Linked DNA regions of Oryctolagus cuniculus. The protein of the gene in region 2 binds, or shares a complex with, the protein of the main gene of each other region. Links are inferred from orthologs where the notes say so. Each region holds a gene or a part of one and is shown on either strand. Other genes may lie near its edges.

What was found.
Region 1: the proteins of MPP1 (region 2) and GYPC are in contact, whole or in part, in an NMR structure (PDB 2EJY), measured with the Homo sapiens proteins. The link is inferred for Oryctolagus cuniculus from reciprocal best matches to the Homo sapiens genes MPP1 and GYPC. Residues at the interface, in NP_002427.1 of Homo sapiens: Pro81, Met82, Gly83, Ile84, Leu86, Lys87, Leu88, Leu100, Val130, Gln134; in NP_002092.1 of Homo sapiens: Arg123, Lys124, Glu125, Tyr126, Ile128.

What each region holds. Positions count from the first base shown.
Region 1 is NC_091434.1:122,856,969-122,872,074, reverse strand, and holds the start of GYPC (glycophorin-C), read left to right. Parts: upstream 1-7,076; 5' UTR 7,077-7,239; coding exon 7,240-7,279; intron 7,280-15,106. UniProt on the Homo sapiens protein: This protein is a minor sialoglycoprotein in human erythrocyte membranes. The blood group Gerbich antigens and receptors for Plasmodium falciparum merozoites are most likely located within the extracellular domain.
Region 2 is NC_091453.1:133,416,045-133,431,150, reverse strand, and holds the start of MPP1 (55 kDa erythrocyte membrane protein), read left to right. Parts: upstream 1-6,110; coding exon 6,111-6,212; intron 6,213-15,106. UniProt on the Homo sapiens protein: Essential regulator of neutrophil polarity. Regulates neutrophil polarization by regulating AKT1 phosphorylation through a mechanism that is independent of PIK3CG activity.

The DNA.
Region 1 (15,106 bases), on a different chromosome or scaffold from region 2:
TTTTTCAGCCTTCGATCTCCAAAACGTGTCTTCATTCTTCTCTCGTGGTCAATTGATCTTTAAGGCAGGTGTAAGATTTAAGCTTCAAAGCCATCTTCACCCCTTGAACTTCGAAAGCCCTGTTCTGTTGTCTTCAGGATTACTGATGTGAGTCCTATGCCAGTCTCACTTCATTCTTCTGCAGAAGGTGCACTTTCTGCCCCTCACCTCCTCCCATTTGTCTATGAAAGTCTGCAAAAAACTTCTTTTCATTACTGCTCTGTGATTGCATAATATATGGACACATGCATTTTTTTTAATTTAGCCTTTTCAATTTGAAGACCTATGTCTTTCATTTTAGCCATTTTATTCTCAATGTCCAAAAATTTTTTTTACAGATCTATTTATTTATTTGAAAGGCGAAGTTACAGAGAGGCAGAGGCAGAGAGAGAAAGAGAGGTCTTCCATCCACTGGTTCACTCCCCAAATGGCTGCAATGACTGGAGCCAGGAGCCTCCTCCAGGTCTCCCATGTGGGTGCAGGGGCCCAAGCACTTGGGTCATCTTCTACTGCTTTCCCAGGCCATAGCAGAGAGCTGGATCAGAAGCGGAGCAGATGGGACTTGAACTGGCGCCCATACGGGATGCCAGCACTGCAGGCAGCGGCTTTACCCGCTGTGCCACAGTGCCAGCCCCTGAAGATTCTTATTCCTTGTGTTTCCTTTTTCATGACATCTTCCTCCAACAGTTATATTATTATTTTCTCAAATCTCCGAGCACATCACAGCTCCTCTTTGTCCCTTCCTTTTCTTTATAGTCTCTTCCTCACATCTCAGTTTCTTTCCCTGAGGTTAGTTTTTCCTTTCGTTTAGCTTGACCTTTTCCTTCCACATCCCGGTTTCCCTCTATGACTTGGCTGTCATGTATAGCTGTCCATCAAAGTTTAAAAATGAAAAGGCCAGGTGGATTATTCTGAGGGGTTGTCAAGGCTTTTTCCTCCCCTGTGATGTGAATCTACTTGTGTCCTGTCAGGTTCTCTGCTGAGATCTGGCTGTGATTTCTGGCTCTCTGGACAGGGCTGCGTGTGCTATGGGGGAGGGCAGGGGGCACCCTGGCATGAAGAACAGGGTGTTACTTTCCATGATGGAAATCATGGTTCTCTTATGCAGATGCTTCATTTTCTTGGGAGTATCCCCACTCTCATCCTGAGACAATCCTACTTTCCCTTGACAATCTTACTTTCCCTGACATTTTGTACCCAAAGCAGGGGGAATGAGAAGGATCTGCCCCATCCTGGACAGGTCTCCAGTCAGTCTCCTTGTGCTTAGCCACATGCTCTTCCACTCACTCCAGAGGTCCCCTGTCTCCAGGTCACGGCTGCTGCCCTCTGCATGCCCCATGCCCCACCCACCCTTGGAATCTTGGAACTTCACCCAACACCCTCTTCACTTTGCACAATTCCTTTACCCAACAGTAAGCAGCTCTGCAAAGGGAGAGTGTGCAAAACAAGCTAAGTCTACCGTCTTGAGCCAAACACAGGAAGGAACTTATACATGAGAGTACTGGAGAAGCGATCAGTGACCATGTCCCCGTGGCTTCCTGTGACCATTCCCATCTGTGACAGTTACAGCTGCTGTGATCATGACACACTTATGTCCTTACATGCCTAGTTCGTTTGCATGACTTTTAGTCATTTTTTTAAAATTTTTTATGTATTTATTTTCTTCTACTTGAAAGAATGACAATGATAGAACTTGAGAGAGAGAAAGTTTCCATCTGCTGGTTCATTCCCCAGATGGCCACAACAGCCAGGGCTGAGCCAGGCTGAAACCAGGAGTCTGGAACTTCACCCAGGTCTCCCACATGGGTGGCAGGGGCCCAAGTACTTGAGCCATCCTCTGCCACCTTCCAGGATGTGTTAGCAAGAAGCTGGGTTGGAAGCAGAGCTGCTGAGACTTGACCCAGCTCACCAATATAGGACATAGGCATTTCAAGTGGCAACTTAACCTGCTGCACCACGACACCCACCCCAACATGAATTTATCATTTTCTCTACTGTATTATGCATCTTCTGTCTGTATCATGGTTACCAAATGCACAGAACTTCCAGGAGATGTACACCCACCTTTCAGAGCACAGTAGACTTGAGTATCATTCTCTTGTTTGGAAGTGAAGTCACTGAGCGAATTGGCAAGCAGTCAACCAGGAATGAGAGGCAGAGAGGCCACACTGGCTGCCTGCCAGGTCCCACTCTGTCCTTGCTTGTGAGCTAGTTCTAGAAATTAAAGGAGATAAAACATGCAAAGCTCTTAAGAAAAGTTTGTGAAGAATTACAATTCCTGTTCTCCTTTTCTTAGTCCAAGACTAAGTATCCCAAACTTCTCCCTCCTCTTAGCTAAAGAGAGAGCAAAGCCCCCCACATGGTGTAAGAGGAGCTCCCTCCTCTCTTTGGTGGGCTCAGGAGTTCACGGGGAGCAGGTGGAGATGCAGACATTCAGTTCTGTTTCACACCAACGGCTTAGGCCCAAAGGAAGGGGGCTGTGCGCCAAATTCGGCTTCCTGAAAGTTAGCAAGGCGCTTCCTCACCACATCCTCATTTCTGATGGGAGCTCTGGGAGCTTGTTCAGCACATTCCTGCCTCTTTCCCGCCTGTCTCCAGGGGCATCCAGCATGCACAGTCACAGATGTCTGTGTAGTGGCACCAGAAGTCCACCTGGGACCCTGGGGTGTGCCAGGCAGGGTGGGGCCACCACGAACAAGGAACTGGTGGCCCCATCCCCCACCCCAGGCACGGACCTCTCCATGGATAGGCCTGCAGGGCACCTGCTCAGTCACTGCGGGGCGTGAGCAGCTACAACATCTCTATGGTCCTCAGGTTCTCTTTCTTTGAAGAAGAGGGAAAAGGAAAAGCAAACTCAAAGCAAGCACCACCCACAAGGACAGTTAATAATGACCACGTGTGGGAGAGCACAGCACCAGGCCTGGCACATGCTGGGTGCCCAGGAAATTGCCCCGTGTGTATAATCCCACGCCTGCTGTGATGCACTTCTTATGGAAAGTTACACAACCTGGAGAGCATCTGAGCCACCAAGCTGACCTCTTTGCCCTCTTTTCCTTTTCTCAACTCTTCTGCTAGAGATTTGCACTCCCCCTGATCCATCTCGGGGCACTTTCCTCCTTTTCCCCCAGTCTGAAGCTTCCCAAATTTTCTCAGCCCTGCTCTAAACAGATTGGTTTTCTTTGTTTATTAATATTTATCTAGCTACCTGTTTGAAAGGCAGAATGACAGAGACTGGGCAAGACAGACAGAGACATCTTCCATGCCCTGGTTCACTCTGCAAGTGGCTATAACAGCCAGAGCTGGGCCAGGCAGAAGGTAGGAGCCTGGAAGTCCATCCTGGTCTCCCTTGTGGATGGCAACCATCTGAGTACTAGGGCCAGCTTCTGCTGCCTTCCCAGGTGCATTAGCAGGAAGCTGGGTCAGAAACAGAATACCTGGGACTCAGATGGGCACTCCAATTCATAATGCTGGTGTGCCAAGTGGTGGCTTAACCTGTTGCACAATAATGTTGGATATTTATTTAATGATGTAATTATTTATTTGAAAGGCAGTTACAGAGGAGGAGGAGGGGGGAGAGAGAGAGATCCTCCATTTGATGGTCCACTCCCCAAGTGGCTACAACAGTTGGGGCTGGGCCAGACCAAAGCCAGGAGCCCATAAGTCTATATTGATCTCACATATGGGTGGCAGAAGCCCAAGGACTTGGGTCATCTTCTGCTGCTTTCCCAGGTACATTAGCAGGGAACTAGATTGGAAGTGGAGCAGCCGGGACTAGAACCAGTGCCCAGTACAGGATGCTGGCACTGCAGTAGGTCGCTTAAACCACTATACCACAACACCAGCCCCACAGCTTGTCTTTTGTCAGTGAACCCACAGATGAGAACCCACCTTTGTGTCACTTCACACCCCCCAGACCACCTGGTTCCACCGGGTTTCTGTATTGTTGCACTTCTCTTAGAGAACCATGAGGATGTATGGCCATTCTGGATGCCTAACCAGGTACCCATAGCTGACGCACTGCTGTAAGTTCAGGGCAAGACTGCAGCTGTGGCTATGAGTCCCACAGCCCCACTCTCCCCTCTAGCTTGCACTATAAGAGCCAGCCTTTAGCAGCCTCCAGGAGAAAAAAACAGAACCTGGCAGCTCAGTCCCAGCGAAGGTCTCCTCTGAGCTTTTACACCCCTCTGCAAAGGGTTCTTGGAAAGAATGTTCTTCTGGGGAAAGGGAGATTTTCCTGGGGAGGGCTGTGGGACTGGAGGCCACTGACCTCTCTGTGCCAATCAGATTGCCTCTTGTACCCCCTGTTCCCTACTCTGTCATGATGAGGAGCTTGGGACAGCATGAACAGTGGAACTGTTAGGAAACTGGCGCAGTTTTAGCCAGGTGGCTGCATGGCCCAGCTACCTGAGCCAGGCTCCACCCCCATCCTAATGGAATTCACTGCTCCTGCTTCCCTGCCTGCCCCCTGGCGAAGTTTTAAAAGGGCCTGTTCCTGAACACGTGCTCTCTTGGCTCTTGGTCCTTCTCTTTCGGTTCCTCTCTCTAGCCTCCTCCTCTGGTCTCTTGGCTCTCTCTCTCTCAGCTCCTCTCTGCTCTCTTCTCTCCTTGCTAGCTCCTCTCCTCTCTGTTTCTCTTATATCTTTCTCTTTTTCCTTCGCCGCCCCTTCACTCCAGTCTGTAGGGTGTTCTCCAATAAACCCTTTCCCTTACTCTGGTGTTCGGTGTGTTTTGCGACGGCTAACATTAATATATAACAGGAACCCTGGTTATTTTCTTTCCATTCCTCTTAAAATAGGCTTCACCACATTTGGGGCTTCTTAAGCATCAACCAGCTTGCCAATCATTTCAGTAAAACTATGTTTCTGTGCTAATAGAACAGGGTAAAAAGAGACAAGACACGGAATACACGTAAAAAAGTGTTGTTGTTATAGGGAGTTCAAATAGATCAGTAGGAAAAATGTCAGCCAACTCCCCAAGTTGAGAAAACAGCAGGAATAAATAGTCCACCTAAAGACCATGAGGTTTGGGGGTGTGCACTTAGCACAGTGCCTCAGGTACCTCCACCCAGGATCATAGGGCTCAGGTTCAAGTCCATGACTATTTCTGATACAGCTTCCTGCTAATGTGCACCCTGGAAGGCAGAAGGTGATGATGACACAAGTAGTTGGGCCTCTGACAGCACTGTGAGAGATCCAGATGGAGTTCTTGCTCCTGTCTGAGGCCTGGCCCATCCCCGCTGTTGTAGGCATTTGGGGAGCAAACCAGTAGAAGGGAGATCTCTCTCTTCCTGTCTGTCTCAATGGCACTCTCTGCTTTTGTAATCGATAGAACAAATACATGAATAAAAATTCAATAGTGAAGGTTTACCAATTAAAATGTGACAGTGCAGACAACATCACTGGTAATCAGGAAAATGCAAGCACATGCTTCTCCACGACAGGATTCACAATGATTTAAACATCCTGCTTCATTCTGGCCAGAGGCTCTGAAATGAGCACCGGCACTCTTGACCGGGGAGTACACAGATTGCTGCAGCCACGCCTCCTGAGGGTTCCAGCCTTAAACGCACTCCCAAGCTTGAATCTGGTCATTCCACTTGTGGAAGTACAAACGAAGGGGAAAATAGGAAACGCTGGTATTCACACACATACAGTTATCAGAGCACTATTTGCAAAATGCAACAACCAAATCATTAAGATGAACTAAAGAGCTTTTCCATTTTATGCAGGAAAACAGACGCGACATAATATTTGGGGGTGGGGGCGACCATAGTCCTGTTTTGGGCAACTGTCAAGGAAACAGCAATGAGAAGCAGCCCAGGGGCCTGGCATTTGGCCTGGCACCCAGCATCGGTGTGCGTGGGTTGCACATTCAGCTCTGTTCCTAACTCTAGCTTTCTTCCAATGAGGAAACTGAGAGGCAGCAGGGGATGAGCCAAGTGACTGGGTTCCTGCCACATACATACATACACACACACACACACACACACACAGAGTGGAGGCGACCTGGACAGAGTTCCTGGCTCCTGGCTTCCACCAGGAGCCACTGCAGGCATCCGGGGAGTGAATCAGCAGGCAGGAGTTCTCCCTGTCTTTCTGCATTTCAAATATACAAGTAAATATTGTTTTTTTATTTTTTAAAAAATTTTTAAAGATTTTATTTATGTATTTGAGAGGTAGAGTTACGTATAGTGAGAGGGAAAGAGGGAGATAAAGGTCTTCCATCCACTGGTTCATTCCCAGATTGGCCGCAACGTCTAGAGTTGTGCTGATCCGAAGCCAGGAATCTTGTGGGTCTCCCATGTGGGTGCAGGAGCCCAAGCATTTGGACCATCTTCTCCTGCTTTCTCAGGCCACAGCAGAGAACTGGATTGGAAGCAGAGCAGCAGTGACCAGAACCAGCGCCCATATGGGATGATGGCGTGCGGGCGGGGGGCGGGCAGGGGATTAACCTACTGTAGCACAGCGCTGACCCCAAATATTGTTTTTTAAACAAAGAAAAGCACAAAAAGGTCAGACATCAGACATGAAAAGTCCCCCGCCCCCGGCTGGGATTTCAAACCAGGTGGCCTGGTCTCAAGCGCCTCCTGCTCCTGTGGAAAGGCGAGGCGGGGATGGGGTTCTCCAATCTGAGTAACTACAGGCTCAGAAGTCAGGTCCAGGTTTTAACCAAGCAGAGTGAATTCTCCACAAACTCCAGTGTGTCTGACTTTGTCTGACAGTCCTACTTCTTTTTTCCCTATAATAAGATTTCCCTACCAAGCGGGACCAGAGCTGGTCTGTCCCTCATTTCATAGCCGTGCCGGGCAGGCCCCCTAGCCGGGCCATCCGCGGGGAAGTTTTTAGGAGCACACGGTTGGGGGGTACTTCTCAACCACAGGCTCTGTATCTGGCAGTCGCAGATGGAAACCGAAACAGCGAGAAAAGCCGCCGGAGAGTTGGAGCACCGCGGAGTTCAGAAGTGGGCGGGTGTGTGTGTTTAAAAAAAAAAAAAGGGTGGAAACCCCACCAAGCCAAGTCTGCAGAAAAAACAAATGAAGTGTGCCTATCTCCGGCCTGGAGCCCCTCCCCTCGGCCCGCGCCCGGGGACCGTGACCCAGCTCCGCGCCCTCCTGGCCGCCGAGGGTCCGGAGCCCGCGCGCGCGCGCGACCCTCGCCGCCCGCCGCTGCGCCCGGGGCCGGCGCCCGCGACCCGTCGGCGATGAGCAGCGGCAACGACACCTCGCAGCTCCCGCCCAACGGTGAGTACCCGCTCTGGGCAGGGGCCTCTTCGGGGGCCCACAGCGGGCCGCGCCGAAGAGACCCTGACGCTTTGCCTGGCGCTGGGCGGGTTGAACCAGGAGCCTGAGTGCAGCCCCCAAGCCAGCATGGAGCCCGCCCGGCGTCCGGACCCGACGCGCGAGGTCTGCGCGCTGCGAAGCCTGGGGAGGCCGCCGGACACCCGCCTCCCGTTCAATCCCGCGCGCGCGCGCGCGCGGGCGCGACCGCGGCTCGCTTTCTCTTTCTTGGTGCGGGAAACTTCTGGCCAGAGCTCGTCTCCGGCAGCGTTCGGCCACGCAGCCTACAGAGGCTACGGAGAAGTTGCCTTCTCTGCTGGCGGGTGTAGGGCAGGGCCCTGGGTCTGCTCCAAGCCCGCGGGGATGGCCCTCCAGGGCGCCTAGGGTGTCCCAAGAGGTGCAGGACCCCCCGCTGGCTTCGGCCCTTGATGGGCTTGTACCTCCCTAGCTACCTGATTTCTTTCTTTGTAGAGCCAGCACTTGCTTTCTTGCGGGCAGGAAATCGTACGCTTTGAGATTCTTGGTAGATGGTCAGAAACATGGCAGGACTGTCCCCACCCTCCCTCTCCTCCTCCTCCTCCTTCTCTGCTGTTGGGCTTTAAAAGGTCCAAAAGAAAATATTATTTTACTTTTTTCAGATGGATGTTTCTCCCTTTCATCTCCCACCCTGGCTGGGGCCATTCTTTAGGGTCTGTTGGAGAGGAGATGCTGCAAGTCCTATAGTATGTTGACCTTAAATAATTAATAGGATAATGAAATGAGGGTGGGAGCAGCAGACGCTTTGGGAAGTTTTGAAGTTGTAGTGGCAGAGAGGACCGGCCCTGGCCAAGCTTGAGCACTGGTGAGCAAGGCTGACTTGGGACGGCAGGTGAGTGCAGTGCCCCTGCGTATGCATGCAACAGTGCAACAGTTCGTGCACTTCCCTGAGTCAGCCAAGTGTGCACAGGGCAAGGGCTCAGGGCTCGGCGTCCGTCCTCAAAGCATCTGTGACAGTTACTAAACAGGGGCCTGAAGACAGTCTCTGTGCTCGTTTCAACATCTGCAAAAATGGAAGTCTAGTCGGGCTGTGAGAATGAAATGTGGCTCAGAGACAGACATGCAGGGTGTTCAATACACAGCAGGCGCCTCTGTGTTCATTCCCCAGGGGACTGCGGGTCCCTGAGTTCATGTGTGTTTACATGTGTGTCTGACTCCAGCTCAGGGATCTGTGTGCCTGTGTGGCAGGGCCAGGTCAAGAGACAGAAGGCACTGAGGAAGTGCAGGCTTCGTCTTTCCGGTGTCTGGAAAGCCTGGCCCACGCCCCAAGCAGACCTTGGCCCAGGACCGCAGGCACCTCCCTTCGGCAGTGGCGAGGATGCAGCCCTTGCTTGCACATCATCCCAGATCCCCCTTCCGATGTGATTTACGGCAGGAGCGGGAGAACAGCGGTGGGGGTGGGGGTGGCCCTCCTTGTGTTAGCTGTGGCAGGATGTGTCTACATCCTGTCTCAGTGTGTTTACACAGCTTCTGCTCTGAACCAGACGTTAGCATGGAGAGGACCCGCTTCTGGGGGCTGGGGCCGCCCTGGCCAGCCAGCACTCCCTGCTCCCAGGTCTGAGCACCACGGTGACTGCCAGTGAGTCATGAATGGCCCTCCATGGCTGTACCCTTGGATGCAAGGGGTCAAGTGTCCACGAGGAGATGGCCAGGTTGGGCAGCTTTATATAGAATCTGCTGCCTCTGGCAGAAGCTGCGAGAGGGGGTTGCATTCAGTGCCAAATGAAATTCCATCTCAGCGGTTGCTCAATCTCTCCCAGATACCGGTGGCGGTGGGAGTCACATGGAGCTGGCACAGTCAGCAGCTGGAGCTTTCCAAGGGAATCTAAGGTGGGGCAAGTGTTTCCGGGGACTTGCAAAGCATCCTGGGAAGCAGAGGGTGTGGGGTCGGAGACGATCTGTGTTTGCAGCTGGAAGGCATAAACACTTCTACAGTGGGTAGGAAGGGCCCCTCAGCAGCCCAGGGAGATTGAGGAAGCCAAGCCAGCTTGCCTCTGAGTGGCAGATACTCAGAAACTTCATGGAAAATGCACATGAAAAACATTGCATGGATTTCAATTATCTTGCACCAAAATAAACATCTTTTTATATAAGTAAAAGGATTTTTTTAAAAGATTTATTTATTTATTTGAAAGACAGGGTTAGAGAGACCATCCATCTGCTAATTCACTCCCCAAATGGCTGCAATGGCCAGAGCTAGGCTGACCCAAAGGCAGGAGCCTGGAGCTTCTTCTGGGGAGATCCAAGCACTTGGGCATTCCGCTGCTCTCTCAGGTGCTTTAACTGGGAGCTGGATCAAAAGAGGAGCATCTTGGACTTGAACTGGCACCCAGATGGGATGCCAGTGTTGCAGATAGCAGCTTTACCTGGTACATCACAGTGTTGGTCCCAGGACTGATTGATTTGAAAGAGAGAGAGAGAGAGAGAGAAAGAGAGAAAATCTTCCATCTACTGGCTTACTTCCCCAAATGGCTGCAATGGCCAGGCCAAAGCCAGGCTCCATCCAGGCCTTCCTGGGAGGCAGAGCTCTAAGTTCTCTGGCCATCCTCTGCTACTTTCCAGGTGCATCAGCAGGGAGCTGGATGGGAAGTGGAGCACCTTGGATTCCAACTGGCGCAGTGATATGGAAGGTGTAACTCACCACACCTCAATAGCGGTCCCTAGAATACATCTTAAAGACTATACCTTGTCAACATAGCTGTACTGACTAGTTATTCTCATGTCTGCAGAGTCTGAATTAGGCGGAACATTTGAATGAACGCTTTTGTGCGATTCCCATCAGCCCCTCCTCTGCAGCAGGGGGCATGGCCCAAGGTCCCATGGCCAGTTAGTGACGGCTTTGGAGCCAGGCCTGGGTTTGATTCCCTCTGCGGCATCTGCCAGCTTTGGGGGAGACGCAGATGCCTCAGAGCCTCTGTCTCCCCATCTGTCAGTGGCAATAAGTTGAGCTACTGTGCCTCAGCCACATTAGTGGGCCACACGCCCAGTGCGAACTGATCAGGGAAGCGTGGCCTGTGGGTGCGGTAGGCTCAGGAGGGAACCTATGCACACCTGCTGTTGTTTTGTTTTTCGCTATGCAGCAGCAGCAACGTTCATCCTTCTTGGGGGCGGGCCTGGGCCCCTCCTCCATCCTAGTGAGAGGGACTGTTGTGCACCTGTTGGTGGCTGCAGAGGAGAGCCTTGGAAGGGCAGGGGGAGCTGCTGGGCGGGCCAGGCAGAGAGGAGCACGGGAGAAGCACACAGTAGCAGGATGCACTGCTGGACTGCATAGGCACGGGCACTGGGAACCTGCCAGCCATGCCACAGATCCCCAGCTATGCTTGTGGTCCAACCCACTCCCACCACAGCCCACTGGGGCTCTCTTTTGTATGATCAGGACTGCCCTACTCTGGGCTGCCTCCCTTCACCCTGCCTTGGCCAGCAGGCTGGGCTCCTCCTGCACCCCTCCCCCAAGCCTGCTTGACTGTCTGGCTTCACCTCTCACAGCTGTCCGGGTCAGGCTTTTGGGGTAACTACCCCTCCCCCCGCCACCTAACACACACACCTGCTTGTCTGTCAAGGCCTCCTTTACATAATCCCACACCACAGAAGATTCCCCCAAACCCAGAAGAACCACCCTCCGTGGCCCAGGGGCACTGGGCAGCCGTGATGGGTCCCGGGTCCCAGAATTCTGTAACCCCCACCTAGTTGCTCCCAGGCACCCTGCATGGAGAGGTGCTGAGCCAGCCACAATGACATGAATGGGGGATGATTGCACAGGTGACCTCGATAGCAGGGCTGCTGTGGTTCCAGCACCAAAAGCCCGCCCCTTTGGGCCACAGTCCGTTTGAGAACTCACAGTGAGCAGCTCCTAGGCTGGAACTTGGCATCTACTTGGAAGCCAGGAAATAATAAGCTGAAATGGGCAGAAAATCAAGCCAGAGCTGATAGGCCCCGGAATTTACTCCCAGGCCTTCACTGAGTCCTATTTCATGCCGGCTCCCGGTCTCTAGTCCCTGCCCCCACCCTCCCACCACCACCTCCCTCTCTTCTCAGCCTGGGCTTTCCTTCAGATCATTGTATAGTCTGACCTTCTGAGAGAAGGCTGGCTCCTACCCTTGCCTATTATAAATTTTAATTTCTGTACATTCTTCTAGAACAATCTTTGAGCACAAGACCTTAGCAGAGAGTGATAGGAGTTCATTCTCCACCCCCCGCCCCCGAGAGGGGTCGAGCCCAGCCCACTGACACCGGATGCCATCCAGGGCAGGGTAGAGGTAGGAGAGGGCCTTCCAGGACCCCTCCACATGCCTGCCGGGCTGCCAGGCAGCCTGGTGGTTACTGCCACTTGCTGTGGCTTCACAGTGAAACCCTGGGCCCTAGAGGAGTGTGCTTGCTCATCAGCCTGGCTCCAAGGCCCCTGCCTTATCTCCCACCCAGACATCTTCAGATCCTCATCCTCCCATTCATAACTCTGTTTAAAGGCACATCCTTTTATTTATTTGAAAGAGCAGCAGAGAGAGGGAAAAACAGTGAGGTCTTCCATCCACTGGTTCATTCCCCAAATGCCCGCAATAGTCAGGTTAGGGCCAGGCTGGAGGCAGGAGCCACAAGCTCCACCCAGGTCTCCCACATGGGTGGCAGAAATTCAAGTCCTTGGGCCATCTTCTGTTGCTTTCCCAGGGGCATTAGCAGGGAGCTGGATCGGAAACAGAGAATCCGGGGCTCCACCCGGCACTCTGATGTGGGATGCCAATGCTGCAAGCCAGGACATCTACCTTGCCACTACAGTGCCAACCCCCCATTCATAACTCCTGACAGCTGTTTGTGATACTATCACTTGTGTCTGATCATCCCACAAACTCCTTCCATGTTAAAGCCACACACCGCTCCTCTTATTGCCAGACTGTCATGGTCACCTACAGTTTGGAGCTCAGCAGGCAAACCACTGGCCCCTTTCCAGAACACTGAGGGAGGGAAACTTCCTTTTCAGGGCCCTTGTGTAGGATGAGCCCTGGGCAAGGCTGCCCCAGTTATCTTCCTGCACCCCTGGCACACCCTAACACAGCTCCTTATCTCTGCTCTGCACGGGATGGCATGGATGGACACATCTCGTATAGAGAGCTGCCCCCTAGAGCCCTCATACCTCCTGCTGCTGCGTGCAGAGTGCATGTTTATGAGTGGCTGGAGTAGGGGCTTCAGCTGACTCCAGGTTCCAGCATGGCCACTCCTCCTCAAGGAATAGAGAATTGAGAATCTTCTCATTTTATCAGTAGCCGTCGCATGCACGTATCCTTAGTAGTGTTAAGGGGGAGATACTTGTGGTTTGCTGAGTTCAAACCAATGGGACAATCCTGCCTGTGTGCCTTGTGCACTGGGCCCCACCAGTGACAACTCCTGGATTCACCAGGCAGCAGAGTCCACTGGCTGGGAATCGTCTTCCACTCAGGACGCTGCTGCCCAATGCTCTCAACGAAACCTACACACATCCCTGAGCCAAGCTAGAGGCCAAGGTCAGGTTCCCCTCCTGGATTTTTTGAAAATCCTTTTAGTTCAAACTTTGCATCAATTTGCTTGTTGCAAACCTTCGTCATACCAGCTCCAAGTGATATTTGGAGTCTAGAGGTTTGGTTTAGAATCCAGACCTACCATTCGCTGGTTGTGACCTTAGGTGATTTCCCTGGCCTCGCTGTGTCACAGTTCATGGTCCAGGACAGGGCTGGCTTCGCGGGTGTGAGACCAGTGCCCAGCAGACCCGTCACTGCTTTGGTTTCCTGCTGTGCTGCCCCGTCTTCAGATCCTTCATTTTTGAACAAGAGCCTCAAGAGTTTTCATCTCACATGGAGACCCCCAAAGTTGATGACCAGCCTGATGCCTGTAAATGGGGCTACCAATAGTTGCTGCCTAGGGTTTGCTCTGATACTAGGTGCCTTCCCTGGATGACATACCTGGCACAGGGCTCAGTACACATCCCTCACTAAGCTTCATCACTGCCTGGTTCAGGCACACTGCTCAGCTTCTTCCTCATCTCAGCCTTGCCTCTGCTTGCCCCTCTAGCACTAAAATCACACCCAAGGACAGGAGCCAATGTGCCCAGGGCAAGGCCCTCTGCCCAGCACAGGTGCTTCCTCCCCCATGGCTCTGGTGAGCTGGCCGGTGATCACCTCCTCCCACACTGCTCTTTCATGTGTGCATCAAAGCTGTGGGCTGGGTATGCAGGCCGGCAGCCTGCTCCCACACCAGCTGTGCAACTTGGAGCAAACTTCTAACCCTCTGAACCTCAGTCTCTTCACATGTTACACTATGGAGGGGCTCAGGGTCCCCTGCCTCATCTGATGCTTAACTGCAGGAGTTGTGGCTGCCTTGTTCTAAAAGTGGGGTCTTTAAAAACATCCATGAATAATGGGTGAGTGAGTGGATGGATAGATGGATGGATGGGATGGATGGGGGAAGATGGATAGATGGGTGGATGAATGGTGGATGGTGTGAAAATTCAGCCAGGATAGACAGGGCTGTCTACACAGCATGCCCACAGCCCCAGTGTCTGCTACACTCTCATCCCCTTGCTGTCTCTGTGCACTGCTCCTCACACACCTTGTGTGCTGTGCAGGTCCCTGTCCACACCCTGACCCTGACTCACTCTCCCTTTCTCTGTCTTCTTGCACCTGTCATTCTATTCGTCTACGCTTGCCTTTGAACAGCTCACACCCCGGACTCTCTGGGCTACTCCTTAAGGCTTTATCCCCTCTCCCTGGGGAGGACTCATTTCCAGCCCATACTCTGGGCCCCAAACACCTGCCAGAGTAGCAGACCTTACCTCTTTGGGTCATGCCTTGAGACTGGTGTTGTCCTTTAAATCACCTCTCTTGAACTTCTGGAAAAACTTCTTATTTTAGTAAAGTTAAATTTCAGTTAGAGTGGAAAATCCAGAGTATTCCCCCTTTTTTTTTTAATTCACAATCTTTGCTTTCTCTGACCTGGGCCGGTTCACCCCTTCTTAGGCAACCTGGTGGTCCCCCGCTCCCAGAAGGTCACCATATTGAAGCTGAACTTAGTGCGGACACCCGATCAGCATAGCGCACGACAGCCCAGAACTCTTGGACTCAAGGGATCATCCGGCCTCAGCCTCCCGAGTAGCTGGGACTACAGGCGCGCACCACCCACTACCGCGCCTGGATCACAACCTTTGCTTTCTCACAAACGCTACTTTATTCTGGCCCCTCCCCATCTTGGGGCGACTCGGAGTAGTCAGATGCAGGCTTTATGCCACGTAACTTGTCTCAGTTCACCCTCAGGCAGCCCGGGGAGGTATTTTTATCTGCCCTTTGCATGTGATGCTGCCGAAACCAGACTAGATGTGACTTCCAGAGGATCCCTGTGGGCCCCTCATGCCCCCTTTCTCCCCGCCCACCAACCACAGAGTTAATAAGGGGCATCCCAAGCAGGTCCATCTGCCAGGCTCAGAGCCCCAGTGCTGTGAGAAGCCCACAAATATGCCTTGGTTTCTCTTCCTATCAGAAGGAAGAAAATGAACCTTTAAGGTCAACAAATGCATTTGTCTGTATTCCAATGCAATCATACGATCTAAGATTTATTTATTTTATTTACTTGGAGTATAGAGTGATGGGAGCAGTGAGAGAGGGAGGGAGGGAGGGAGGGAGGAAGGAAGGGAGAAAAAGAGAAAGAGAGAGAGAGAGAGAGGGAGAGAGAGAAAGACTGATTTTCTCCATCCACTGGTTTACTCCCCAAATGCCTGTAACAGCCAGGACTAGACCA
Region 2 (15,106 bases):
CAAGTGAGCCCCACATCCCCTACTCACAGCATTTCTGGGTGTTTAAAATTCAATTTATTTAGTTTGGGTCCCCCCACCCAGTCCTTGTACAACCCACTTCACAGAAAGGCAATGGGGGAGGGCATTACTTGGGTAGGGGACTTCTTTTCCTTTGTATGTGTGTTGCTTATCAGACAATTCTACCCAGTCTCCACTGGCCTTCCCTACTCTTATTTCTACCATGCAAGCAATAACAACACTCATTTCAAACAGGCTCAGCCTGCATGTCTGCCAGCCAAAATAAAAAAAGTTACATATGATTGGCAGTACATTATTTAATGTTGCCTGTTTTTCTTTAGTTTGTTGAAATGTCCCTTTCCTTGATGCCTTAGAGTTTGTAAAATCTTTTGAAATATAGTATACATACAGAAGAGGGTACATATCTTAATAATACAACTCAAAGAATAACCATGGAGTGAACAAATTTGTCTTCCTCTCCCCTCCTCCTGCATCACCAGCCCAAAGTAATTCCTATCCTGCCTTCTAACACCATAGCCTTACCTGTTTTTTTTTAAAGATTTATTTTGAAATGCAGATTTACAGAGAGAGAGAGAAAAAAGTTTGTAAAGAGAGAGGTCTTCCATCCACTGGCTCACTCCCCAGATGGCCTCAATGGCCAGGGCTGGGCTAGGCTGAAGCCAGGAGCCAGGAGCTTCATCCAGGTCACCCACGTGGGTTCAGGGACTGAAACACTTGGGCAATCTTCTACTGCTTTTCCCAGGCCATTAGCAGTGAACTGCATCAGAACTGGAGCAGCTAGGACACAAACTGGCTCCTGTAAAGGATAGTGGCATCATAGGCAGACACAATGTGGGCCCCCAGTCTTGCCTCTTTTAAAACTTTATAAAACGTGAGCCATCTTCTATGATTTTCTTCTTTTACTCATGTTGTATCTAGAAATTCATCCATTTGGATGCTTATAATTCGCCCATTTTCACTCCTGCTGTATAATGTCATATCATGTAGGACATATGCATTATTTTTGAGTGTTTTTAACTCTAAATAAAGATTCATAAATATTCTTGCAATGTGTTTCATGGAGCACATATGCAAGTTTCTCATAGGATTGACTAGCTATGTCAAAGGATATCCATTCCATGCTACAATGCCAGTTTCCCAAAGCCATTGCACCAATTGCTTTGTCTAACAGCAGTATATTAATGTTCTGTTATCCCACATTTTTAATAACATGAAATATCATCTGCCTTTCAAGTTTTTGTCAATCTGGTGAATGAGAAACTTCTTTTTTGCAAATTCCAAATTCTTCCAAATTTGTGTTTGTCTAATAACTCATGAGATTGAAGACCTTTTCATGTTTATAGATCATTTGTTTTCTATGAAATTTTTGTTAATGAATTTCACCCATTTTTAATTAGTAGTTTTGCTTATTTCTTATTGATCAGTAGGAATTGTTTATATATTCTGTATTTTAATATATTTAGATGAAAAATACCTTGCCCAAAGTCCTATATTGCCTTCCAAAATTTTATAGTTTTGTCTTTCACACTTAAGTTCCTCAGCTACTTGGAACTGATTTTTTTGTATGAGGCAGAGTCTGATTTCATTTTTGTCATATTGCAAAAATGTATAATTTGCCATTCACGAACTTTGAACAGAATTTCTGTACCTAAAGGCAGTTCTAGAAACTGAGAAAAACAAATAGATGCAATAAATTCCAAGAAGCAATAAATTCCAAGGAGCAAAACTAAATTCTGAACAATGACTACCTGGGACTGCAGCTGGCTGACCATTGGGCAGCATGGGAATGTTGAAAGAAGACAAGTCTTGTGAGCATCCATCCTCTGAGTCAGGTGGCTAGCCTTTCCAGTACTTTTCCACTGTAAGCTTTGCCTCAATAAAAACTAAAACAAGATTTTGCTCTTTTTTCAGTTCTTTGGACTACAGTAGTTTGGATAAGTATTTGCCTTCTGCTCTGGCAAGTCTAGTCTCTGTTATGATGTGAATAACCAGTATACCCCACATATCACATAGAGAAAGTCTATCCTCTCCCTACTGACTTGCAGTGCCACCTCTGTCATTGCTCTGTTTCTGTGTCTAAACCTTACTCTCTCAGCAACCACTGCTTCATTACAGGTCTTGCTATCTGGACAGCAGCTTCCCCCCACTCCTTGATTTTCTAGAGCATTTTATATATTCTTGCTATTCACAACTCCATATTTTTTTTCAGGCTTCACAAAACATATATGTTGAAATTCCTGCTGGCATTGCATTGACTCTTATAGGAAAATTTCAGGAGAAGTAATAGCCCAAAGAAATTGAGTCTTCCAAACTACAAACATTTATCTCTTCATTTCTTAGCTCTTCTTTAATCAATTCCAATAGAACGTTATAATTCTCTCCATACAGTACAAATGTATCGTTCAGTTTATTCCTAGGTATTTGATAGTTGTAGATGTTATGATAAAATTGTACCTTCTAAAATTACAAGTTCTGTCTGTTGCTGGTATATAGAAATGCAGTTGATTTCTATATGATGGTAGCCAGCAACCTTGCTAATATCATTATTAATTTCTATCTGGTCTGCAATGGTGCTAGAAATCGACATTTTTGTATCACATAAATTGTATTCTATGCTGCCAGTGTGGTTGACTATCTCTCCATAACTTTATTTTATTTTCATTCCTTTCTATTCCCCATTTTTGTTTCTTGTTTTATCCCTCTCCTGTTAAGTGTTTTCCTTATTTTAAAGTTTTTAATATATGAAATATAATAACTCTTTTTCTACCACACCTAATTTCTACCACTAATTTCCCCAGTTTGCCTTATGTTCTATAATTCCATTCATGATAAGTTCTTAAGTACAAAGAGGTTGGCTGCTATTTCAGTGAATAAGGAAATGCGTATGTTTGTTTATATGAGTAATTTTCCATGCTTCCTAACATCAATCTGTTTTGGTATCATAGGGTCTTGGCCTGTATCCCTTGGAAAATAGAGCATGCGACAAAGTTTATATGCTAGTATTCTATGACGGGGTATCATATAGATGTCTTCACGCAGAGGGTGAAGAAACCACTAGCTTTTTCAGAAGGTGTTCCAAGTCCAATCCTTCAAAAGGCAGTTATGTCCTAAAAACACTTAAAAAGAGTTGGTAACCCTAGCTACAGTTTCAACTGCTGCAGCTTCTCTGGGAATTCTAATGGATGGGTATCTTCTTCCACCCATTTTACACATCCCTCCTCCTCAGTCAGCCCTTCAATGGACTAGGTGGCTTGCCTGCTGGGGTGACTCATCTTCATCTTTGATGGGTCTAAGTTCCACAGCTTGCAGTTTGGTGGAAACTTTATTGTGTTCCTGGTGGAACTGCTTCATTTTCCCTGATTACAGGAAGTAGGATCATTAATTCAATAAAGTCAATCCAACTCCAAAGTCTATCCTAAGTGTCCATTTCCTAAGACCAATACCTCATTTCTGACAACTGTTTTCTAAGCCTGGGTTCACTGGAAGATAGAGTGTGATTTGAGACATGTATGCGAAAACCTTACTGTAGGATGCAATTCCATGAGTGCAAGAGTAATAGGGAAAGGAAAATGAGGCAGGGAAGGATGGAAAGAAAATACAAATTTGCGTGCTCCTAAGCTTGTCACTGCTACTGAAGAAAATACAGCTTGTTTCTCAGTCCCCCTGGATACCTCCAGATAGGTGGTATACAACCATAGCACATTGGATTCCCAAGGTAGGGAATTGATCTGCTACTATTTAAAAAAAAAAACACACACACAAAGATGGTACATATCTATGGGGTATTATATGATGCTTTGATACACACATACGTTATGTGATGTCCAATTAGGTAAACAAATATATTTCCTCTAACACTTAACGTCTCTTTATGGTGAAAACAATCAAAATCCTATATTCTAGCTTTTAAAATAAATTAGTCACATCCACTGTGCAATAGAATCATAGAAATTCTTACTCCTCTCTAGCTGTAACAGTACCCATTAATAAGCCTTTCCCCATCACTTGCTAGCAGGTTTTTGTCTCATTTCTCTCACTGCTCAAAGTTCATCCTCCTGGGCCATAACTTTCTCACACCCCTGAGTTGTTTTGCTGGTTCCAGAAGGGCTAAGAGTCATGACAGCCTCCATGGATGCAGTCAGACTGAGCTTGAATGCAGATTCTCTGGGAGTAGTGAGCATAATAGAGGTCGTTAAAGAAACTGACCTTCACTTTGGAAAAGGCCGAAGGAGTCAGATTTATTAAGAGATGTAGCAATTGCAGAGGCAGTCAGGGATTTTGATCGTTTATGTGCCTGAGGGTCTGGGAATTAGATGAAGGCTGAGAAAATATGGAGGGGTATAAAATTGAATGAGGCCATGTGTACTGAGGTTCCTGTATTTGGACAAACAAGGCAATTCTAATCCTAAATATTTCAGAGGTGTATAAAGGAAAATCTGGTCAGTTACAGACTAATTGTAAGAGATACTGGAACATCGGTTTCCTAAATAGCATTACTGCCAACAACATTGGACTCCCACCAGCAACACTGAAGAAATTGTATGCTTTCACATTCTCTCCAACACTTCATATTGTCAGACTTTTTGAGAATTGAATGGGAGTACAGTGGCATCTCATTGCAGTCTTGATTTGCATTTCTTTGACCACTAACACTGAGAAGTTGAACATGTCTTCATATGTTTATTGGCCCATATGTGTTTCTCTATTTGTGAATTCTGTTTGTCTATGAAATATCATGTCTTTTCCTCATTTCTCTACCAGATTGTTTGTTTTTCTTATTAATCTGTAGTCTTTTATATTTTCAAGATAGGAATTTTTTGTCACTTGTGTTTCTTGAAAATATATTCCCCTTATGCACATCTGGTCTTTTTTGTACTTTATGTATTTTTTGATGAATAAAAGTTCTTGATGTTGGGGCTGGTGTTGTGGTACAGTGGGTTAAGCCATATCCTGCAACTCCAACATCCTGTATGAGTCTGTGGGTTCAAGTCCTGGCTGTTCTACTTCTGATCCAGTTTCTTGCTAATATACCTGGGAAAGCAATGGAAGAAAGCCCAAGTGCTTGTGCTCTTGCCATTCACATAGGAGACCCAGATAGAGTTCCTGGATCCTGGCTTTTGCCTGGCCCACTCCTGGCTGTTGTGGCCATTTGGAAAGTGAAGCAGTGGATGGAAGATAGATCTCTCTCTCTCTCTGTCTGTGTCTCTGTGTCCCCTTATCTCTGTGTAACTCTATCTTTGAAATAAATAAATCTTTGTAAATAAGTTCTTAATGTTAATAAAGTTAAACATCACTATTGTACTTTATTGTGAATGGTTAGCATTAAGAGCTTTAAATGTGTGTTTTTACGTGTAAGTATTTAATGCACCTGGAATATATTATTCTTTTGTATATCACATGAAGTTGGGTTCCAATGTCATCTTTTCAAATATAAATATTTTCCAGCTTCAGTTAAAGCCCTTCCTCACTTACCTAACATGCTAAGTACATCATGTACCATACAGTTCTGTGCATGCACAGGTGTGTTTCTGGGCGCTGTGCCTGCATCCATTTATGGGTACAGACTAGAGTTCACCACCTCTTACATTCTTTAAGTTCCACTAAAGCTGGCTAATTCTGATTTTCTGTGTTTTCCTGAGTGTACAAACGGCTCTAGGCGTCATCAGGTAGAAGCTGCCTCCCTGCTACCCCCATGAATTCTGCTCAGGCCTGTTAGGGCGTGGGCTGCGCGGTGAACCAGCCAGAGGCTGGGGACGACCTCCAGGTTTTTAATCCTTCCGGGTTCAGTCGCACACCTGCTTGGGCCCTTAGCGCAGGGCCTTTTTTGGTTTCTAAAGGGTCGCTGCGGTGAGCTCGCCGCGTCAGGTGGACCTAGGAGTGGGCGGGCTCAGGGGCGGGGGCGAGGGGCGGCAGTGGGCGGGGCGTGGGTGGAGCTCCGCCCCCGGCCGCCCGGCGCGCCGCCTGCGGGGTGGTGACAGGCCCAGCAGCGCCAAGTCCCCGCCGCCTCCGCAGACTCCGCCGCCGCACAGGCCTGGGCCCTCGCACTCCCAGCGCTGCCTGGACCAGCAGCCTTGTGTCCCGACCCCTGGAAGATGACGCTCAAAGCGAGCGAGGGCGAGGGTGGGGGCAGCATGCGGACGGCACTCTCCGACCTCTACCTAGAGCACTTGCTGCAGAAGCGCAGCCGGCCAGAGGTGAGCGGGCCCGGTGGGTCCTCTGGGTGCGGGGCCGGGACTCAGCTCCGGGCCCGACCATCAGCCTGAGGACTTCCTCTGTCCCCGGGAGAATCAATCCCTGGGGAGCCTGTCCTTGAGGGTGTTGGTCCCAGGATGGAGGCCGCGGCAGCTTGCGGGGTGGGGGCCCAGCGAATGCGCGGCGGGGTTCATGCTGGGCTCGGAGTGCGGTGGATCCGAACAGTCCTGCTAGATGGCAATCTGGAGGCCGCAGCCTGGACAGAATGCTCGTTAAGGTCAAGGGAAACTTCCTCATGGATGGAAGTCACAATAACAGAAACACTTTAAGAGCACACTCATGAGAATGTCTGCTTGCTGGTTGTTGAACTGCCTGTGTTTGGGTCAACTTCTGGCTTGAAATCGCTCACTCACTGTCCCTCTGCAGTTAGGACAGCCCCCTTGTGCTCTGCTGCAAATAGGGTAGCCTGTGTGGATTGAGGGGTGGAAGAAGGAATCCAAGGACTTGGAAGGTTATCCTGCCCTCAGGATTCCAGTGATGGTCAGTAAATACCTATTACCCTTTGTCTTCAAAGATGCCCTGAGGGGAGGTTGTGGCTATCTGCTGTTTTGTAGCAAGTCTTCAGTACTGTGAGCATTTTCCTGGTATTATCTGCTGTGCATTTGGGGATCTCTTAGGCAGGGGCACAGCCACAGGACTGCTCCCTCCTTCTCTCCCTCACTCATCTGAACATCGATGCTGCCTCTCGAACCAAGCAGCATCTTCTCCCTGTGGCCTGGAGAGTGTGTCAAGAGAGATACACACACAAAGACGCTAGATGCTGCATTCATTCGTTAGTACATATAAGCTCACTGGCCAAGACCATGATACTAGCCATTTGCTTTTAAAGACACAGTTTCTCTGTCCTCTTGCAGGTCAGGGGTATTTCACACTCAAGTGTTTAAATATCTTTAAGTGGGCCCTTAGAAATACTTGCTGAATTAATTAATAAACAAAGAGGTGGACATTAGAGAATTAGAGTAACTTTCCAATTTCACAGAAAAGTAAACTGAAGATCACTAAGACACCTCTGTCTGTCATTTCAAATCATGATTACAACACCGTGGGCCTCAGTGTGGAAATGAGCAGCCATGGAAAATGCTATTGCTATAGAGATGAGAATCGATGTTCACTTGACTGAACTTTCAAAAAATCTGTTTACTGAATTTATTTGGACACTTTTATTGAAATATACTTATATAATAGAATTCACTAATTATTTTTGTGTAGTTTGATGAGATTTGACACATATATACAATCATATAACTATTATCACAATCATGACATATAACAAACATTTGCATCATTCTAGAAATTTCCCTTGTGGCCCTTTGCAATAAGTCTCCCCTTACCTGGAGCCTGGCAACCACTGATCTAACACTGCACACTTGCCTTGTTTTGGATTGTGTATAAATAGAATCATAAACTATGTAGTATTTTGTGTCTGCTTCCTTATGCTTGAAAGAATGTGTGCCTTTTTGAAAAGATGCCCTTTCACTATTGGAGTGGTTCTGTATATACACTCTCTGAGGAAACAGCAGTTTTCCTTGGGCTATGAGTTTATCATAGAATATCAAATACACTTAGATAATTTGTTTCAATATTATTTAAGGATTTAAAGAAGCTGGAAGGTGGAATAAGAAAACTTGCTAACCTTTCAAATAAAATAGTGTATAGATCTGCCAAGGTACACATCAGAGGGAGAATTTGCAAATGAGGTTCATCTTCCCATTGGGAGCTTTACCACTCTTTGCCACAACACTAGGCTCTGCATCTCACTTGCTGTGTGGCCTTGGGCAAGCTGCTGGAAGACTCTGTGCCTTAGGTTTCTCTTCTCTATGCATTGGTTCTTAAGACATCAGATGCTGCGCTATGCCACATTCTGATGCAGTATTGATTGCAGATCTATGAAGTAAATAAGGAAACATGCAGATGCACAAATTAAGACAGCAGCATGGGGTGGTGCAATTGAGGTATGACTGCTGGATCCTACATTTGGCAGTATCCAGGATATAATGGACAAATAACAGTCCAGGCAGACACCAACGGTTTTGCTGAATACCATACATCCTGTGATGTCTTGCCAGAGGCTGGAATATTCATAATCTGCCCCTAATTATGATTTTTCCAGAAAAAGAATTTTCTGCACAATTGCATTTGATTGTTTCATGACAAGAGACACTTTCCATGTAAGGCTTTTCTTTTCACAGAAGGGATACTAGAAGATGAAGTGCAATTTTTAAATTATTTCAGCTTCTCCCCAACTTTCCCAGTAAGTGATGCCGGTCCAGTGCTTCCCTATCCTTCACCAGCAGGAACGTTTTTCTTTTAAAACTAGAAAGACTAGTATACCTTGCAGATAAGAATCTGGTTTGATTGTGGCTAAGTAGGATAGAGCTCTGTTCTTTTCTAAGTCATCTGCTAGCCTTTGAAGGAGAATTTCAAGTCAGGATCAGCATTGCTCAACCTTGGTGCTGTCATCATTTTGGGTCTGATCATTCTTCATTGTGAAAAGTACCATCTTGCGTCTGTCCCCACCCTAGTTGTAGGGATCAAGAATGTCTTCAGAGATTGCCAAGGAGGGAAGATGAAAAGAATTGACATTTTATTGATGCAGAGATTTTTTTCCCTGGAAACAATGACTTGCTTTAACCTTTCAGTGTTACTTAAAAAGAAGGACACTGGGTGTGGAGTACAAAATGACAAGAATAAAAAAAATCATATTTCAAAATTGGCTGGGGATGGGGGTGGGGTATCAGTGATGCTAGATGTGGAGAAGAGGAAATAAAACCCTGAATTAGGGAACCAGAAGATAGCTTTCGTAACATGGAATTTTCTGATTTTTCACTTTTTCTTTTTTCCTTCATATAAAGAAATATTTGAGCAAAACACCTAATAAGTTTTTACTCAAAGGTCGCTTTCCCTGTGAGGTCTTTTCTGTTTTATTTTCTCCCATAGTACACATCATTGTCTTCAAAAAATTCTGTCTAACCAACGTGCAGTTTGTAGCCCTGACACAAGGTTGCCTATGCAGTCTTTCCTTGCAACAATGATAAACTCTGAAGTCCATAGTTTAACTCCTGGAGCCTAACACTGATTGTCCTGTAAGCTTGGACAAGTCTCTGAACCACTTTGTGCTTGCAAATATTGATCACAAAATGAGGATGTGAATTTAATGAGTGGCATTATTTACCAATAATTTCAGCAGGGTTTAATGGCGGGCAGTGTGAGGACTCAACACCAGGTGTCTGGATTTGCAGTCCTGTGTGTCTTCTCTATGGAACTTGGCTTTCCTGTTTTTCTACAGTGGAAGGAGAAGCCGAGTGCATTGGGCAGATAAGTTGTTGGAAGCTTGACCTTTGGATGGGTTCTTAGGCCTTGCTCTCTCCCCAGTTCTTATCATGTGGTTAAACAGTGCTAATCTCTTTCAAAAACCTTGAGGCATTCTTGGCTTTCTCACAGTTTCTTGTGTGTGTGTGTGTGTGTGTGTGTGTGTGTTTTCCCAATGTAGACCAGGATATTGCCCAGGCAGAGAGTGGGTTTTCCAGCTGTGGCAGGCTGGCAGCCCCCAGGGTCTGCTGTCTCCTTCTTGTACTTGGCTTTCTAGGTCTTGTGGCTGTCATGGGCAAAGAGGCCAACCATGGACTAAAACAGTCTCTTTTTCCTGATTCTCTCCCTTGCTCCTAAAGCCAACTGTAATTGCCCCTGTAGTGTTCAGCCCCACCACTGTCCACCCCCTGCCAAGTTTGTTTTTAAATTCCAACTTCCTTTGAGTAACTGCCTCTGTCCTTTGAACCCTGCTGCAGATGTTTCCTCCGAAGGGGGTTTCAGAGCAGCAGGCATTGCTTTCAAGGGCAGAGGCTGCAGAGCAAAGGCCAGACATGGAGTTGCAGACAAGTGTTTACCACTGTTCCTCCTGAATTTAAGATGTCATCTTAAAACACAGCCACTTCCACCCTGCCTTTACTTTGGTTGCGGGGGTGGAGGGCAGGATTTCCATAGCCCTGGGACCTCTTGTGTCTACTGGAGATGGCGCTGCAGTTTCATGGAGACATTGTGGAGGTTGTGAAGTAGGCTTTGTGAAATGGAATCTACCCTTGACCTTCATTATTTGTTCAACATTATTCATGTCACTTTGCATAGCCTAGCTCCTGTGATACCTGCAGTGAGGAGATGTGGAGGCCGATGGAAGGAGTTCCTATAAGATGGGGTTGCAGGGAAGCTGGCCCTCCCTTTTGAAGAGTCTCAGGAAGACAGGGTGGCTCATGGACAAGTTCATGGTAGAGAAAATCCTGCTTTGCTTTCAGAAGCCTTGACTTGGGAGTTTGTTCTTTAGTTAGCACACTGGAGGTTTCCGTTTTTCTTAGTCATCATTTGCAACTTCTGGTGAGTGTGGTAGTGACTCTTAGTCATTGCAAAGCAGGGTGTCTGGCTGGATAAGCACATTTGCAAGACCAACCTTTGGGATAGCAACTCTTGAACTTTTCTGACTAGAATGTGCTCTACCTCTAGTAAACTTTGCTGAGTCCTTAATTTAAAGGCTGACATGTTAAAAGTAATCATTGTAATCAAGCTGAGTAAGAAAAATATGAGGCAAGGGTGCCAGTTTATCTTCCTCTTTTAGGTACACAATGAACACCTGATGATGTTGCGTGTAGATTTTCCCCTCCTTTCAAAGGTCATATTGTATTCTGTGTACTAAGACTTTCTGCTCTTATGTTCTCTAGAACATTATGCAAGGGTGTACCAAGGCCAGAAACACAGGCGTGTAGTGATAGATCGCCATGGTTTTAATTTGCGTTTGTCCATGATGGTTAATGATGTTGAACATTTTTTCATATCCTTGTGTGCTATCCTCATGTATCCCCTTTGGTGAAATTTTTTTTCACATCTTTTGTTCATTTTCAAATTAGATTGTTTTCACTGTGTAATATTGAGCATTCTTTTTTTAAAAAAATTTATTTATTTCAAAGGCAGAGAGAGAGAGAGAGGTCGTCCATTTGCTGGTCCACTCCCCAAATGACCACAATGCTGATGTCGTAGGTGGCAGCTTACCCACTACACTATAATGCCAGCCCCTGAGCATTCTTTATATATTCCAGATAATAGTTTAATAGTTTTTTGTTGAGTATGTGCTTTGCACATACTTTCTCCCTGTTTATGGCTTGCATTTTTATCATCTTCACATGGGCTTTCATAGACCAGAAGTTTTTAATTTTGACGAGGTCTAATTTGTTAATTTTTCCTTTTATGGGTCCTGCTTTTGGTGCAAGCTTTAATAACTCTGTGTAGCCCTAGATCCCAATAATTTTCTTCTATTTTTTTCTTTAAAGTTTTATACTTTACATTGAAGTCCATAGTCCATTTCAGAAGGTTTAAGGTTTAGGTCAGTATCTGTTTATGGATGTGCTTCTGGGTTACCTGTTCAGTTGCATTGATTCTTCCACTTTCTTCTTTTTCAGCTATTCATGATTTTCATATGTATATGATTTGTCAAAGGTTAAGTTGTCTAGAGGTAGTTTTAATGTAACCTGTGTGGTTCAGGTGAGTGAAAATAGTCAAGTGTAAGAAAAATAACACTCATGTGCTCAGTGACCAGGTGGCACAGCAGTGACAGCAGGGAACATTTCTGCCAGGACCACCTGGAGAGCAGGTGCCTGATTTGAGATTTTTAAAAAGTTGGAGTCTCTTGAGTTTTACTAAATAAAACAAAAACACATGGTCAAAATAAAATTAATTTGTGGACCATCAGCTTGTAAGTGAATGTGATTAGTGGCCCTTTCGCTTCATTTCTTCTCTCCTCTTTTTACTTCTTAAATTGTATAATATTGTATGTACCTTCATATTGTCATGGTACTGTCATGTACAGTCTGTCCCTTAACTATAATTGTTTCATGATGTGTCATATGGATTCTAGAAAATAAAAATCAGATCTCATTTGGGATGGCAAGATGCCCAACTAAATTCTTTTCTTTCCAGCCCATTTTTTTTTTTTTTTTAGCTTGGGATGGCTAAGTTCCACAACTCTGGCCAATGAGACAAGAATAGCTGTCCCCCGGGGAAGTACTGGGATGAATGCAGCTGGCCTGGCCCTTCTTCCTCCTTCCTGACTTGAAAGTGGAGCTGATGGCCAGAGTGGCAGCTGTTTCATGTATGTTTGAAACCCAACCCTCATTGCTTTCAGGGATTCTGAGCCCTGACCCTGTGCTGTGCTGCAGTGTGGCACAGTTGTTCCCGCAACAGATTCCTCCTCTGGGCACCTAATCAAGCTATTGATAGCTTTTATACCTAATGACTTTTAACAATGTTTTCTTTTTTATGGGTTTCTGTTTCCTTCCCTTCTTTACTGTCATTTAAACCAAGTTTGTCGGGGAAAGGAGCTGGGCACAGTGGTGGAGGGGATGGCACAGGGAGATCTGCTCAAGAACTTAGGCTTGAACCAGAATCTCAATCACTTAGGAAAATTCTATTTTAACAGTAGAGAAAGCACTGTGGTTGGAGAACTTTTAAGAAAAACAGACTTTTATTTGCAGCATTGTTCAGCAGTTAATAAAAGAGCCAGGACACAAGCTCAGACAGTGTATATGTTTCTTTTAAAACGTTTGCACTGTATTTGCACCCTGTGCTTTTTGTGTTACTAAAATTTGTGATTAAAGTAATGCAAGCACATAGTACATAATTTTCAAGTTACGAGCGGATATATAGTGGAAACAATTTCCTTCTCAACCCACTCTGTAGGTACCCAGTTCCGTTCCCCAGAATCAACCTAATAGATTATGCATTTATAAACATATCAGTTTTATGCTGTTACCTTTCCTCTCATTGCTCCCAGTTGTACCACGTCAGTTTTCCACGTACAATGCTATCTGTGACAGTAATGCCATCTGACTGGTTATCATGTGACTTTTAAACTTCTAGTTGCTAGACAAAGCAGTTTCTCTTTCTCAGTACTTCCCTTATATGATGTTACCCAATAACTCACACTACTTCAAACCTCACCATCATATCAGAGTTTCCATTGACTCCTTAGAAAAAATGCAGTATATTAAAATCAAAATGTTATTTGGAGGATCATTCCTGGATATGGCTAGAGTACCACTGCCATTCATTTTCAGCTTGTACCCAGAAACCAGACCTTTCCATAAAGCAAGCCCAGACTGTTCCTCCTCCTCCCACTGGCCAGATTGTTTTTGATTGAGTATTTTCTCTGAGATAGATGGGGAAATTTTTCAGATTTCCACTTGGCCTTCTCCACTGTCAGAGCTCTTACTCCAAGCTGCTTTAGTGCTAATAAATCAATAAGATGAAGAACTAGCACAGGAGGCTGAGAAGGCACATTTCAGGAGAGGAGAGTGATTATCTGTGAGATTGCATTTCCACTGGTGTGCCGTATTCTTTGGATGGCTTTGCCAGTTTACCCAGCCTACCATTCATGGACTTTTGTGATGTTTCCAGGTTTGGGCTTTTAAAAATAATGTTGCTCTTAGAAGGGCATACTACTGCTTCTGTGGGAGTCCAGCCCAAAATGTGTAACCTCAGTCTACTCATGAGAAAACATCAAACCCAAATTTGAGATACATCCACCAAAAAATAGGTCTGTCCTCTTCAAAAATATCAAGGTCCAGTGATGAGCATTTGGCTTACCTTAAGACATCTACATCCCATGGAATACCTGGGTAGATACCAGCCCTAGCTCCTGATTCTACCTGCCTGCTAATGGGCACCCTGGGAGGCAGCAAGTGATGGCTCAAGTACTTGGGTCCCTGTCACCCATGTGGGAGACTAGGATGGAATTCCTGGCTCCTGACTTCAGTCCCTGCCCTAGCTCTGGTTGTAGTGGGCAAGCATTTGAGGAGTGAACCAGTGAGTGGATGGAATCAATCTCTCCCACTCTCCCCACCACCACCCCAACTCCATCTCCCTCTGTCTCTCCCTCTTCCTCTCCCTCTTTCCCTCCCTCCTCCTCATATTTCTTAAACACATAAATTTTGCAAAATGTCGAGGTCGGGATAGACATTTAGCCTAATGGTTAAGAAGCCAGTTGATGCATACATCCTGGGTTTGATGCCTAGTTCCAACTCATGCAGATTCTGGGAGGCGGCAAGTGGGGGCTCAAGTGCTTAGGTTCCTGCCACTTACATGAAGAGACCTGGATGGAGTTCCTGGCTCCTGGTTTTAGCCTTAGCTGTGGCAGACATTTGGGGAGTGAGCCAGCCAATGGGTGTTTCTCTCTCTCTCTCTCTCTCTCTCTCTCTCTCCCCACTGCCCCAGCTCTCAAATACATTTTTAAAGTGTGTGTGGTTTTTTTTTTTTTTTTTTTTTAGAAAGCCAGGTCATGAACAACAAAGAAAGGTTGAGGAATTTTTCCAAATTAAGTGAGACTATAGACATATGAAAACTGTATGATCTGGACTGGATCTGGGTCTGGGGGTAAATGTATAGCTACAAAGGGCATTATTAGGACAGCTGATAAAATGTAAATATGAATGGAGTACAGGTGATAATATTATATCCATGTTGAATATTAAGTTTTGAGAATGCTTTTGTCCTCAGAAAACACAACAGAAGCATTTAAGGGTAAAAGATACCTGAAAATTTACATTTTATAACTTTTTAAGAATAGTGCTACAATGCATTGCTGTCCATAATTTTTGGTGCACATGGGAGTGGAATGAATGAGTTATGGGTATGCATGATGTGACCGCCTTTGGAAGAGGCCCTCAATGTGATCTCCCCAGTTTACACTCAGTGTAGGTATACTACTGTATGGTTTGCCTTTTTACTCTCTTAATGCCATCTTCCCCCAATATTTTGTTTGCAAATTTTCAAACTTATGGAAAAGATGAAAACATTTTAT